Linked DNA regions of Macaca fascicularis. The protein of the gene in region 1 purifies or fractionates together with the protein of each later gene. This does not show direct contact. Links are inferred from orthologs where the notes say so. Each region holds a gene or a part of one and is shown in the gene's direction. Other genes may lie near its edges.

Region 1 (5,954 bases):
AAAAAAAAAAAAAAAAAGGTCAGGATCTCCTCAAGAATCGCTTGAACTCGGGAGGCGGAGGTTGCAGCGAGCCCAGATCACACCACTGCACTCCAGCCTAGGGGACAAAGTGAGACTCCATCTCAAAAAAATAAAATAAAGGTTAGCTGAGCTTCATGGCATGTGCCTATGGTCCCAGCTATTTGAGAGACAGGCGTGAGGATCCCTTGAGCCTGGGAGATCAAGGCTGCAGTGAGCTTTAATTATACCACTACACTCCAGTCTAGGTGACAGAGCAAGACCCTGTCACAACAACAAACGAAACAAGCAAACAAGGTCACAAAGCAATAATCCTAGCTGCTGCTGTTACTATTCTTGAGATAGAGTCTTGCTCTTTAGCTCAGGATGGAGTGCAGTGGTGTGATCTTGGCTCACTGCAACCTCCGCCTCCTGGGTTCAAGCAATTCTCACGCCTCAGCCTCTTGAATTGCTGAGATTACAGGCGTGCTTGGCTACTTTTTGTGTATTTTTGGTGGAGATGGGATTTCGACATGTTGGTCGGGAATCTTGAACTCCTGACCTCAAGTGATCCTCCCGTCTCAGCCTCCCACAGTGCTGGGATTACAGGTGTGAGTATTTTATTTTATTTATTTATTTGTTTATTTTTTGACAAAGCCTTAGTCTGTCACCCAGGCTAGAGTGCTGTGGCGCGATCTCGGCTCGCTGCAACCTCCACCTCCCAGGTTCAAGCTATTCTTGTGCCTGAGCCTCCCGAGTAGCTGGGATCACAGGTGCGCACCACCACACCTGGCTAATTTTTATATTTTTAGTAGATGTGGTGTTTCACCATGTTGGCCAGGCTGGTTTCAAACTCCTGACCTCAAGTACTCCACCCACCTCAGCCTTCCATAGTGGTGGGATTACAGGCGTGAGCCACTGCACCCAGCCCCGTTACTACTTTTATATAAAAGTGTCCCATCACTATACAAGAGATGAGGATTTCAACGGAGGCCAGTTTGTTCTCTGAGTACTTTCTTGGGCCTGTCTGGTTTGAGTAGTGTGGGAGGGGCACCCAAGGCCCTTGCCCAGACCCTGAGCCCCACTTCCTCTCCTACAGATCCTCTGGTGACCCCACTTCTCGCTGCTCATGCCGCTGGGACTGGGGCGGCGGAAAAAGGCGCCCCCTCTAGTGGAAAATGAGGAGGCTGAGCCAGGCCGTGGCGGGCTGGGCGTGGGGGAGCCAGGGCCCCTGGGCGGAGGTGGGGCGGGGGGGCCCCAAATGGGCTTGCCCCCCCCTCCCCCAGCCCTGCGGCCCCGCCTTGTGTTCCACACCCAGCTGGCCCATGGCAGTCCCACTGGCCGCATCGAGGGCTTCACCAACGTCAAGGAGCTGTATGGCAAGATCGCCGAGGCCTTCCGCCTGCCAACTGCCGAGGTACCCACTGGGGAATCGGGCACCAGGGTCCCTGATGGTGGGCCAGAGGCCTGGGCCTGCATCCCATTTGTGAGCTGGGGTTCAGATGCCAAAGCTGCAGATGCTAAGCCTGTGCCCCACTCAGTGGCGGGGGCCAATGGCCTGGGCTGGATCTGAGTTCCCATCAGGCACTGGGAGGCCTGTGCCCCTGTGAACTGTGGGGAACTGGAAGCCAGGGCTGGATGCTGAGTTCCCCTCAGGTACTGCGAGGCCTGTGCCCCAGTGGGTTGTGGGAGCTGATGACCAGGGCTGCATGCTGACATCCCATCAGGCACTGGGAGGGCTGTACCCCCAGTAGATTATGCAAGACTGATGGCCAGGGCTGGATGCTGAGTTCCCAGCAGGCACTGGGATACCTGAGCTTCAATGGACTGTGGGAGGCCGGGGCTGGATGTATTGATTGTATGGATGGATTGAGAGGCCTGCATCCCAGTCTATTGTGCAAGACTGACAGCCAGGGCTGGACGCTGAGTTCCCATCAGGCATTAGGAGGCCTGTGCCCCAGTGAAGTATGGAGAACTGGAGGCCAAACCTGGATGCTGAGTTCCCATCAGGCATTGGGAGGCCAGTGCCCCAGGAGATGGTGGAGGCTGGAGGCCAGATACAAGATGCACTTCTCCGTGATTCCTTGGAGAATCCCAACACTGGGAGGCTGGCTTGCCTGGCACCAAGCACTGTGGGGATGGATGGGAGGGGGGCAAGGATGGCAATAGTGGGTTTGAACAAGTAGATGCAGGGGTCTCCATAAGTGGGGCGAGTTTCTGTGTCCTCCACAAGTATTTCCTGAGCACTCACTGTGTGCCAGGCTCCATTCCCTGAAAGCAGCAATGAATTTTTTTTTTTTTTTTTGAGATGGAGTTTTGCTCTGTCACCAGGCTGGAGTGCAATCGTGTAATCTTGGCTCACTGCAACCTCCACCTCCTGGATTCAAACCATTCTCCTGCCTCAGCCTCCCAAGTAGTTGGGATTGCAGGTGCCTGTCACCATGCCCAGCTAATTTTTGTATTTTTATTTTTATTTATTTATTTTTTTTTTTGAGACGGAGTCTCGCTCTGTCACCCAGGCTGGAGTGCAGTGGCCGGATCTCAGCTCACTGCAAGCTCCGCCTCCCAGGTTCACGCCATTCTCCTGCCTCAGCCTCCCGAGTAGCTGGGACTACAGGCGCCCGCCACCTCGCCCGGCTAGTTTTTTGTATTTCTTAATAGAGACGAGGTTTCACTGTGTTATCCAGGATGGTCTCGATCTCCTGACCTCGTGATCCGCCCGTCTCGGCCTCCCAAAGTGCTGGGATTACAGGCTTGAGCCACCGCGCCCGGCCTAATTTTTGTATTTTTAGTAGAGACAGGATTTCACCATGTTGGTCAGGCTGGTCTTGATCTCCTGACCTCGTGATCTACCTGCCTTGACCTCCCAAAGTGTTGGGATTACAGGTGTGAGCCACCGCGCCCGGCACAGCAATGAATTTTTGCTAGGACAGAAATCCTAGCTGGGTACAGTGGTGCACACCTATAGTCCCAGCTACTTGGGAGGTTGAGGTAGGGGGGATCACTGGAACTCAGGAGTTCCAGGCCAGCCTGGGCAACATAATGAGGCTCTCATCTCTAAAAAAAATTATTTTAACTATGTGGGTGTGGTGGCGTGTGCCTGTGGTCCCAGCTACTCGGGAGACTGAGATGGGAGGATCACTTGAGCCCAGGAATTGGAGACCAGCCTGTGCAACATAGTGAGACCCCATATCTCCACAAAAAATACAAAAATTAGCCAGGCATGGCTAGTTGTAGTTCCAGCTACTTGGGAGGCTGAGGTGGGAAGATTGCCGGAATCTGGGAGATTGAGGCTGCAGTGACTATGATTGCACCACTGCGCTCCAGCCTGGGTGACAGAGCAAGACCCTGTCTGAAAATAAATAAAAGGAGGCCGGGCACGGTGGCTCAAGCCTGTAATCCCAGCACTTTGGGAGGCCGAGACAGGCGGATCACGAGGTCAGCAGATCGAGACCATCCTGGCTAACACGGTGAAACCCCGTCTCTACTAAAAATACAAAAAACTAGCGGGGCGACGTGGCGGACGCCTGTAGTCCCAGCTACTCGGGAGGCTGAGGCAGGAGAATGGCGTAAACCCGGGAGGCGGAGCTTGCAGTGAACTGAGATCCGGCCACTGCACTCCAGCCTGGGCGGCAGAGCGAGACTCCGTCTCAAAAAAAAATAAAAATAAATTTAAAAAAATAAAGGAAAATTAAATCCTAGTCCTAGCAGAGCTGACACGCTAATGCGGGCCCTGCCCTGGCCCTGGCTCAGTGGGTGATCGGGCACTGGGATGGAATGCTCCTAGTCCTCTCCCAGCTCTCTCCCTTCGCCCTCCAGTGGTGATTAGCAAAGGGGGAGGGAGGGGGGAGAGGGTTCAGCGTCTCCCACCCCTGCAGGTGATGTTCTGCACCCTGAACACCCACAAAGTGGACATGGACAAGCTCCTGGGGGGCCAGATCGGGCTGGAGGACTTCATCTTCGCCCACGTGAAGGGGCAGCGCAAGGAGGTGGAGGTGTTCAAGTCGGAGGATGCACTCGGGCTCACCATCACGGACAACGGGGCTGGCTACGCCTTCATCAAGGTGCCTGGGGAGACGGGGCACCTCGGAGGCCTGGGAGTGAGGGTGGGCCACGGGACCCTGGAAACCAAGGCAGAGCCCCAAGGGCTGATGACTCGCCATCCCCGCAGCGCATCAAGGAGGGCAGCGTGATCGACCACATCCACCTCATCAGCGTGGGCGACATGATCGAGGCCATTAACGGGCAGAGCCTGCTGGGCTGCCGGCACTACGAGGTGGCCCGGCTGCTCAAGGAGCTGCCCCGAGGCCGTACCTTCACGCTGAAGCTCACGGAGCCTCGCAAGGCCTTCGGTGAGGAGCCGCCCCCTGCACCTCCCCAATGGCGCTGCTCACACGGGCGCAGGCGGTGGTGCCGGGAGCGGCCAGCAGGTGGCGCCCGAGCCTGGGCAGCCGAAAGGGAAGTGGGTGCAGCTCCTCCCGGTCCCGAGACGAGGTGCTGGTCCTTGGCCCAGCCGGAGAGAAGGGCGGGGGCAAGGAGGAAGGTGTCCTCACCCCTGGCCAGCCCCCACCCCTAACAGGTCAGACTTGGCCGCTCAGTACCAGCCCCCCCACTTTTCCATCTGGCTTCACTAACTCTAAGGAATGGGCCCCAGGCCCCTGAGATGGGGGTGGGGGACTGAATCACTTCCCCGGGCAGGTAGGGCTGGTCTGTGGCCCGGGAGCCATACCCCCTTGGCCAAGAGGAGACGGACTCAGGCAGCTGGAGACTCAGGCTGGGGTACACCCGCTTCCTGTCCCAGCCCCTGGGAGCAGAAGTGGCCCCTCCAGTCTCCCCTCTAGCATTTCCTATTCCTGGCCCCCAGCTGTCCCCCCTGCTCTGCCCCACATCCATGCCAGGCCTGAGTCAGGATTCCTGCCCTGGCCCCAGCCCCCAGGAACTTGCAGAAGCTTGGAGAAGTTTGGGGTGGTGTCGAAAGCCAGGAGGGCCAAGTTCCTGCCCAGAGCGTGCTAAAACCGAGCTTCCCCCACACGCACCCCTCTCCTACCTCCCACAGACATGATCAGCCAACGCTCAGCGGGTGGCCGCCCTGGCTCTGGCCCACAACTGGGCACTGGCCGAGGGACCCTGCGGCTCCGATCCCGGGGCCCTGCCACGGTGGAGGATCTGGTGAGTGCTCCAGCTGGACCCTATCTCCAGCATTCCTTCCCTTTCTTTTTTTTGAGACAGAGTCTCACTGTTGTCACCCAGGCTGGAGTATAGTAGCTCGATCTCGGCTCACTGCAACCTCAGCCTCACAGGTTCAAGCAATTCTCCTGCCTCAGCCTCCCAAGTAGCTGGGACTACAGGCGCCCGCCACCATGCCCGGCTGATTTTTGTATTTTTAGTAGAGACGGGGTTTCACCATGTTGGCCAGGCTGGTCTCGAACTCCTGGCCTCAGGTGATCCAGCCTCCTTGGCCTCCCAAAGTGCTGGGATTATAGGCGTGAGCCACCACCCCCAGCCCTCACTTCCTTTTCATAGTAGGCAGCATCATCTGTTAGCTGAGGGGACTCTGGGCAGACAGCCTGGATTCTAGTCCACTTCTGCCACTTCCCAGCTCCCAGGGACCTTCCTTGGGCACGTGGGCCTCAGTTTGCCCATCAGTAAAATGGGGATGAGATGAACACCGATACCTTCTTCTCAGGGTTGTCCTGAGGTCTAAATAGGAATATATGTAAAGTGGTGACAAGGGCGGTCAGTCCAATTACAATGTATATTCACATTGTTATGATGTCGCTGTCACCCCTCCTGGCCCCCAGCCCTCCGCCTTTGAAGAGAAGGCCATTGAGAAGGTGGATGACCTGCTGGAGAGTTACATGGGTATCAGGGACACGGAGTTGGGTAAGTGAGGGCTGCCTGCGGGGGCGTGGGGGGCGGCATCTAGGTCTGGTGCTGGCTGAATCCACCCTGAGTCC
Region 2 (5,954 bases), on another chromosome or scaffold:
CAGGTGGGCTCCAGTTGCCCTCACAGCTGACACCCCCTGACTTTTCCTCCTCCTCGGGTGCAGTCAGATGGAGACTCTCAGGCAGGAACTGTCACCGTCACACGTGAAAGGCCGCATGGCAAGTACTGGTTGTGGGCTTGCGATTGTCCTGAAGCTCCTCCCCTCACCCACTCATGGGTCTCTTCATTTTCTCTCCGCATCAGTTCTCTGCAGTAAATGATCCCGCATTTTTGTATGGGAAGGATTTTTACTCCTCACTCAGCCTGTTGAAGTCAGGCTGCTCTGGAGGTGGCCGTCACTGAGGTCTCCGCAGTGGCCTCCAAGCAGCCCAGGGGCTTGCACGTGTGGCCCTTGCATTTGGGGGCTGCCGGGCTACCTGGCTGTGGTAGGAGGGTCTCTCAAGTGGCGGCAAGACCCCTTCATCCAGCTCTGCACGCAGGCTGTGCAGACAGAGCCACTCGGTCACCGCTTCTGGTAGGGGGCGAGGGTGTTGTCCCGTCAGTGTTGAGCCTCAGCGTCCCAGACCCCAGCAGAGGAGTGGAGTGTGGGGTGGAAGGAGGCTGCCTCCTGGCCTGAGCTCCGTCACTTCCAGCCAGGCAGTCTGGGTCCCGGGCATCCAGGGAGCCTGTGGTCTCCCCAACGCACGGTTCTCTGGGGCCGGGAATAGGGAATGAGCATGCAGACCTGACCATTGTAACTTCATAGGGAAAGATGGAAACATCTGTGACCACCCAGTTTGGGGAGAACAGCTTCATTCCTTCCTGTGAGTAACTGGCCTGTGTGCGTGCTGGTCTCCACTCCGCCCCTCCCTACCATGCTGGGTAGGAGAGACGGCGAGGCTGGCCTCAGGTGGGTGTTTTCTAAGGGAAGGGCCCCCAACAGAGCGGCTCTGCCCCTCCCCAGAGAGGTGGCCGCCGTGCCTTCCTCTCCTGCTGCCGGCTGCGCTCAAGCACCACAGCCCCAGCGGCTCCAGCACGGGAGGCTCATCTCTCACAGTTCCAGGGCCCAGAAGTCCAAAATCAAGGCGCCGGCCAACTCTGTTCCTGGGAAGGCCCTCTTCCTGGCTTCATGTGTCCTCACGTGGTAGAGGGAGAGAGAACGGAAGCTCTCTGGTGTCTCAAATAAAGGTGCTGATCTGATCATGGGGACCCCACCTTCATGACCTCTTGTAACTCTAACTACTCCCCACTGCCCCATCTCCCAGTGCCATCACGTTAGGGGACAGAGCTTCAACATAGGACTTTAGGGAAACATAGTTCAGTCCGTAATACATGCCTTCTGTCCAGACAGCGTTCAGGTGCAGAGTGCAGCCTTCTGAGGCCTTGACGTGGAAACGATGCCTCCCTTGAGCCACTGTCCGCCGGTCACTCGGAGCTGGAATTGCAGCTTCTGATGCAGTGGTGACGGTGGCTGAGACTCGGCAGGGTTAAATACTGAACACAAGATTGCCCCTATAGCAGCATGTGGACACACGCCTGGCTCTGCTTACTGCACAGGGGCCCTCCAAGCCGTGCTCACTGCACTTGGAGCCTGGGGGAAGAATGGGGATGGTCAGGGTTCTGTCCCGGCTGCTGCAGAAACGTTGCAAAGGGTGGTGTCAGGGCCTCTGGGTCTCTGCAAGGTAAAGGCGGCATGCTGGGTCAGAAGCTACATTCTCAGCTGTCTCTGGATAGAGCAATTGAGGAATAAGGGACCTCAGACCATCGTATATGTGCCTGGTTATGTAGGGGTGAGATTTGCTTGCTCAGAGCTCTATGTACTGTGGCCTGCTATGACAGTGTCTGCCAGTTTCTCTTGGAGAGCATATGAAATTCACCGCTTTGAAATCGGCTCACTGCTCTTCCTGTCCCTTCTCCTGGGCCCTGGTGAAGGGCCTGCTCAAAGCCAGTTACCTCATTCATATCCAGAACCCGTAACATGCTTCTGTCCTGTCTGTGTGCCTGTCCAGAAAAAAAAGCAGAGGCCTTAGGGGTGATTCTTGGGGTCTCTTCCACGGAAAGATCTTTCCTGCTTAGTTACAGTGGTTCAGTAAATATGCCCTGGTTTCATCTGCATACATTGCATCTGCATACGTTGCATTGAGAATACCTTATGGCCGCTCTGTGTTGTGTTTAGAATTGTTTATTTGGGGTGCAGGGGGGATTTCAGCAGCGGATGGGTAGGGAGCATCACCCTTGGGGCCTCTGCTGGGCTGTGCCATTGATGGCCGCTTCCCAGGGCCGAGTCACCATGATGACTGCTCCTGCACTGGAATCAACCACTCTGAACAAGCAGAAGCCGATTTTTCCTTTTCCGAGCCCTGCAGCTAGCAGCGTGGACTGTACAGTCCTACTCTGTCCTCCTCTTTGACTGTAATGAATGGGCTGGCCTGGAACACATTTCACAAACACTCTTGTGCTCCCAAGAAGAGCAGGTGCAAATAGCCAGAAAACACTGCTGGGCTGTGTGTGCCCAGGGTGCCAATGAGACAAGCACAAAGTGGGCACAGAGGCCAAGGAGCAAGTGCTGCTCTGCTCTGTGGGGCCAGGAAGGATGAAATGGGTCTATCCTCATTGGAACAATCTGGAAGAAAGAGGATTCAACTTCCCATAAAATTACCATTGAACCCATGTTTCGCTTGCTCAGGGGACTTTTTTTTCCTCCTCTACTTTCAGGAAGAAGGCATATTGCCAAGTGGATGCCGCCGCGCAGCATGTTTGCTTGAGGCGGAAGCTTCAGCGTCTGCTGGGATAACTGGAGGAAGAAATATGAAGCCTTAGCAGCTTTACCCGGGAAGCGAGTTTCGAGATGGCGGCTCAGCGGATCCGAGCTGCCAACTCCAGCGGCCTCCCTCGCTGCAAGTCAGAGGGGACCCTGATTGACCTGAGCGAAGGGTTTTCAGAGACGAGCTTTAATGATGTCAAAGGTGAGCTTCTGGGGAACAGGACTGTGGCTAAGGGAGAACGTTGGGATTTCCAAGTTGGAACTCAGGAACTTTTCTGCTTTAAAGATCGCCAGTTTAGCATTCAGATCATTAAAGTTTAGTTCTTTAAACTTCACCGTGTTCGTAGGTTTAGCCCTAGACCCATAGCCGCTTGTCTTATTTTTTGGTTCCCCCTTATTAGTGAAACCCCTTCTTAATACAGGGTATGTTTCTTTTTTCGTGATAAAATTCAGTGACAGTGTGGTAGGGAGCTTGGTGGCGCAGAAACCCAGGGGAACAGAGAGTGTGGCAAATAGATGAAATAGTGAGAACCACTAGAGAAGAAAAAAAGGTGGCTTAGGGGAGGGGTCAGCAAACCTTTTCTCTAAACGGTCTGATAGGAAATATTTGAAGCTTTGCAGGCCATATACCATCTCTGTCACTACTATTCATTGCTGCTTTGTTGCATGAAAGCAGCCACAGAAGTAAGTCATTAAATAGCCACAGTCGTGTTCCAAGACAACTTTTTTTTTTTTGCAGACAACCCCGTGTGGCCCCAGGGCCGTGCTTTACCAATCCCTGTTCTAGAAGGTGGTCCTAAGGTTTGATAACCCTGGGTTTCCGGGTTTCTCCAGTGGCCGCATAAAATTGAGTTCATGAGAAGACCTATCTTTTGGACACCAAGGTTGATACCAGTAGGGCATTTTCTTCCTGGACATCTGCCCCAACCTAGGCCACATTCAGTCTCTCTCAACGTGCTCCCTCGGGGCTTGGCAGCTGCAGTGACGGCAGCATCATCATCAATATCATCATCCCTTGGCTTTCTCTTAGCTGTTGAAATTGTCTTGCCTGGAGCACAGCTGAAAAGTAGGAACTTGACTTTGACCTTTGTATCCTCAGCCCCGGCCTAAAGTCAGTGCTAAGTAAATGTTTCTTGAACTAAACCGCTATCCCCCAGATAAAGTTGTAATCCTCTATCCTGATGTACTAGAAATTATACGCACTGTGTTTATGTCTGTCTAATTGAGTAGCTTCTCCTTCCCCTTTATCCCAAACATCTTCTCCCTGCCTCTGATTGATGCTGGCATCCCTGAGCATTGCTGTAAATGTTCTTTAAAATAAAAGGCTAGCCAGTATGAGATGTTATTAATAAGAGAACAACAGTGATTGGGTGTTGCCATAAATAACTGAAGCATTTATTTTTCAGATTCTGTTAATGGACATTGTTTTTTTTTTACTTTATGGCCCAACTCAGAGTCAAAGCTAGGACTAGGGAACATAAATTGTGTGATTTGGGCAGAGTGTTACAGTGAGGAGGGCAGAGTCTTAAAGTGAGGTGAACTTTTTAAAATAATGACAGCGGGCTGGGCACAGTGGCTCACACCTGTAATCCCAGCACTTTAGGAGGCCGAGGCAGGCGGATCACAAGGTCAGGAGCTCGAGACCAGCCTGGCCAACGTGGTGAAACCCTGTCTCTACTAAAAATACCAAAAATTAGCCAGTCCTGGTGGAACGTACCTGTAATCCCAGCTACTCAGGAGGCTCAGACAGGAGAATCACTTGAACCCAGGAGGCGGTGGTTGCCGTGAGCTGAGATCACACCACTGCACTCTGAGACTCTGTCTCCAAAATAAATAAATTAATAATAATAATAATAATAATAATGACAGTGCTCTGGAGGAAATATTGGCTGTTATCCCTAAAAGACTCCCAAATTTAGAGGAGGAAGACAAACAAGACAGCCTCGAATGTGAGGAGGAGGATGTTTTGAGAATCTGAGGTTGACAGAACCGTGGGATCTCCGGTCTCGCCCAGAGATCCTGGGGAGTCTACCTCCAAGGCACCACATGTGACCCAGGCAGTGCGCCAGCCAGAAGCTTCACGCACATCCCGGTGATAGACAGACTCCAAGGTGGGAATTTATTTCAGCCAAAATATCTGCCGTGGAACCTTCTGCTCTGATGAATGTTTTGCCTGCAGAAGAACGTAGGCAGAGGGATAGGAAATGTATTATTCAGTACATTGAACTTCCTAAAACCCAGGGAGATTTTTTGTATTAGAATCGAGGTGGCTGTGAATCTGGGTAACACTCCTCAGAATTCATTAAGATGTAATTCGATAAGGATTCTCTGGCATTTGATGGGATGGAAGCCCTTCCCCAGGGTCCCCAGCTGCTTGGTGGCAGTTGACTGATGGAGGACCTCGTCTAGAAGGGGTTATCACACAACAGTCCACCTTCCTGGGATTCTGGAAAGGAAGAGTGGGGTGGTTTCCCTTGGGTAAGCCTGATCCCTTGAGTGAAATCTGTGACGACTTCTCTTCCAAGGAGAGTGCTGGGAATTTTAAGTGAAACCGTTCTTAATTCTTCAGTTGGATGAAACTGAGTGATAATTCTCGTTGATACATTCTAGGCTATGCACAAAGCATGCTTGATTGCTTTGGTTTCTTAGTTTTGAAACGACTATAAGGGAATTATTCTGGGGGAGCATAATAAGGACATAACCTTTGAGGGATTCTGGCAAGATTTTGATGGCCGGCAAGCTTTATTTAATTTCCATTTAGTTTTTTTCATCTTTATGTGACATTTCCAGTAGATGTGTCAAGGAGACAAAATGGTTGATATTCCTGGAGATCATGACTAGCAAGCAGAAATAGGGGAGAAGAGCTTCTGTATCCTCTGGCCTCAGCCTGACCCACATAACTTCTTCCCACTTCTCCATCAGAGCCATTTTCTTTCACAGGTTTTTGTTCACTTCCATCTCATATTAAATAATTTGTCAGTTTTATGATTTTTTTAGAGCACAAGAGCATAGCCGGGGGGAATTCAGACATTGCTTTGACCAGCACCAGGATCCAATAACACAGACTATGGCTTCTCTGTGTCATTTATGCACGCACGATGATCATTCATTCCACAAATACTCATTGAGCCCCTGCTCTGTGCCAGGCCTTGTACGAGGCCCAGGGATACAACAGCAAACAAAACAGGCTCTCATAGTGCTGATATCCTAATGGGGAGATGGAGGCTCCCCTCCTGAAAAAAAAATATATA

What was found. Proteins that work in one complex are often made in the same cells at the same time.
Region 2: the proteins of GIPC1 (region 1) and SH3BP4 purify together in Homo sapiens (affinity purification with mass spectrometry; 4 studies listed by BioGRID and IntAct, with this or other methods). This does not show direct contact. The link is inferred for Macaca fascicularis from reciprocal best matches to the Homo sapiens genes GIPC1 and SH3BP4.

The regions. Positions count from the first base shown.
Region 1 is NC_088393.1:14,913,623-14,919,576, reverse strand, and holds part of GIPC1 (PDZ domain-containing protein GIPC1), read left to right. Parts: intron 1-1,096; 5' UTR 1,097-1,126; coding exon 1,127-1,414; intron 1,415-3,875; coding exon 3,876-4,061; intron 4,062-4,168; coding exon 4,169-4,349; intron 4,350-5,053; coding exon 5,054-5,166; intron 5,167-5,798; coding exon 5,799-5,880; intron 5,881-5,954. UniProt on the Homo sapiens protein: May be involved in G protein-linked signaling.
Region 2 is NC_088386.1:130,942,104-130,948,057, forward strand, and holds part of SH3BP4 (SH3 domain-binding protein 4), read left to right. Parts: intron 1-2,654; 5' UTR 2,655-2,787; coding exon of another isoform or gene 2,788-2,905; intron 2,906-3,442; 5' UTR 3,443-3,558; coding exon 3,559-3,769; intron 3,770-5,954. UniProt on the Homo sapiens protein: May function in transferrin receptor internalization at the plasma membrane through a cargo-specific control of clathrin-mediated endocytosis.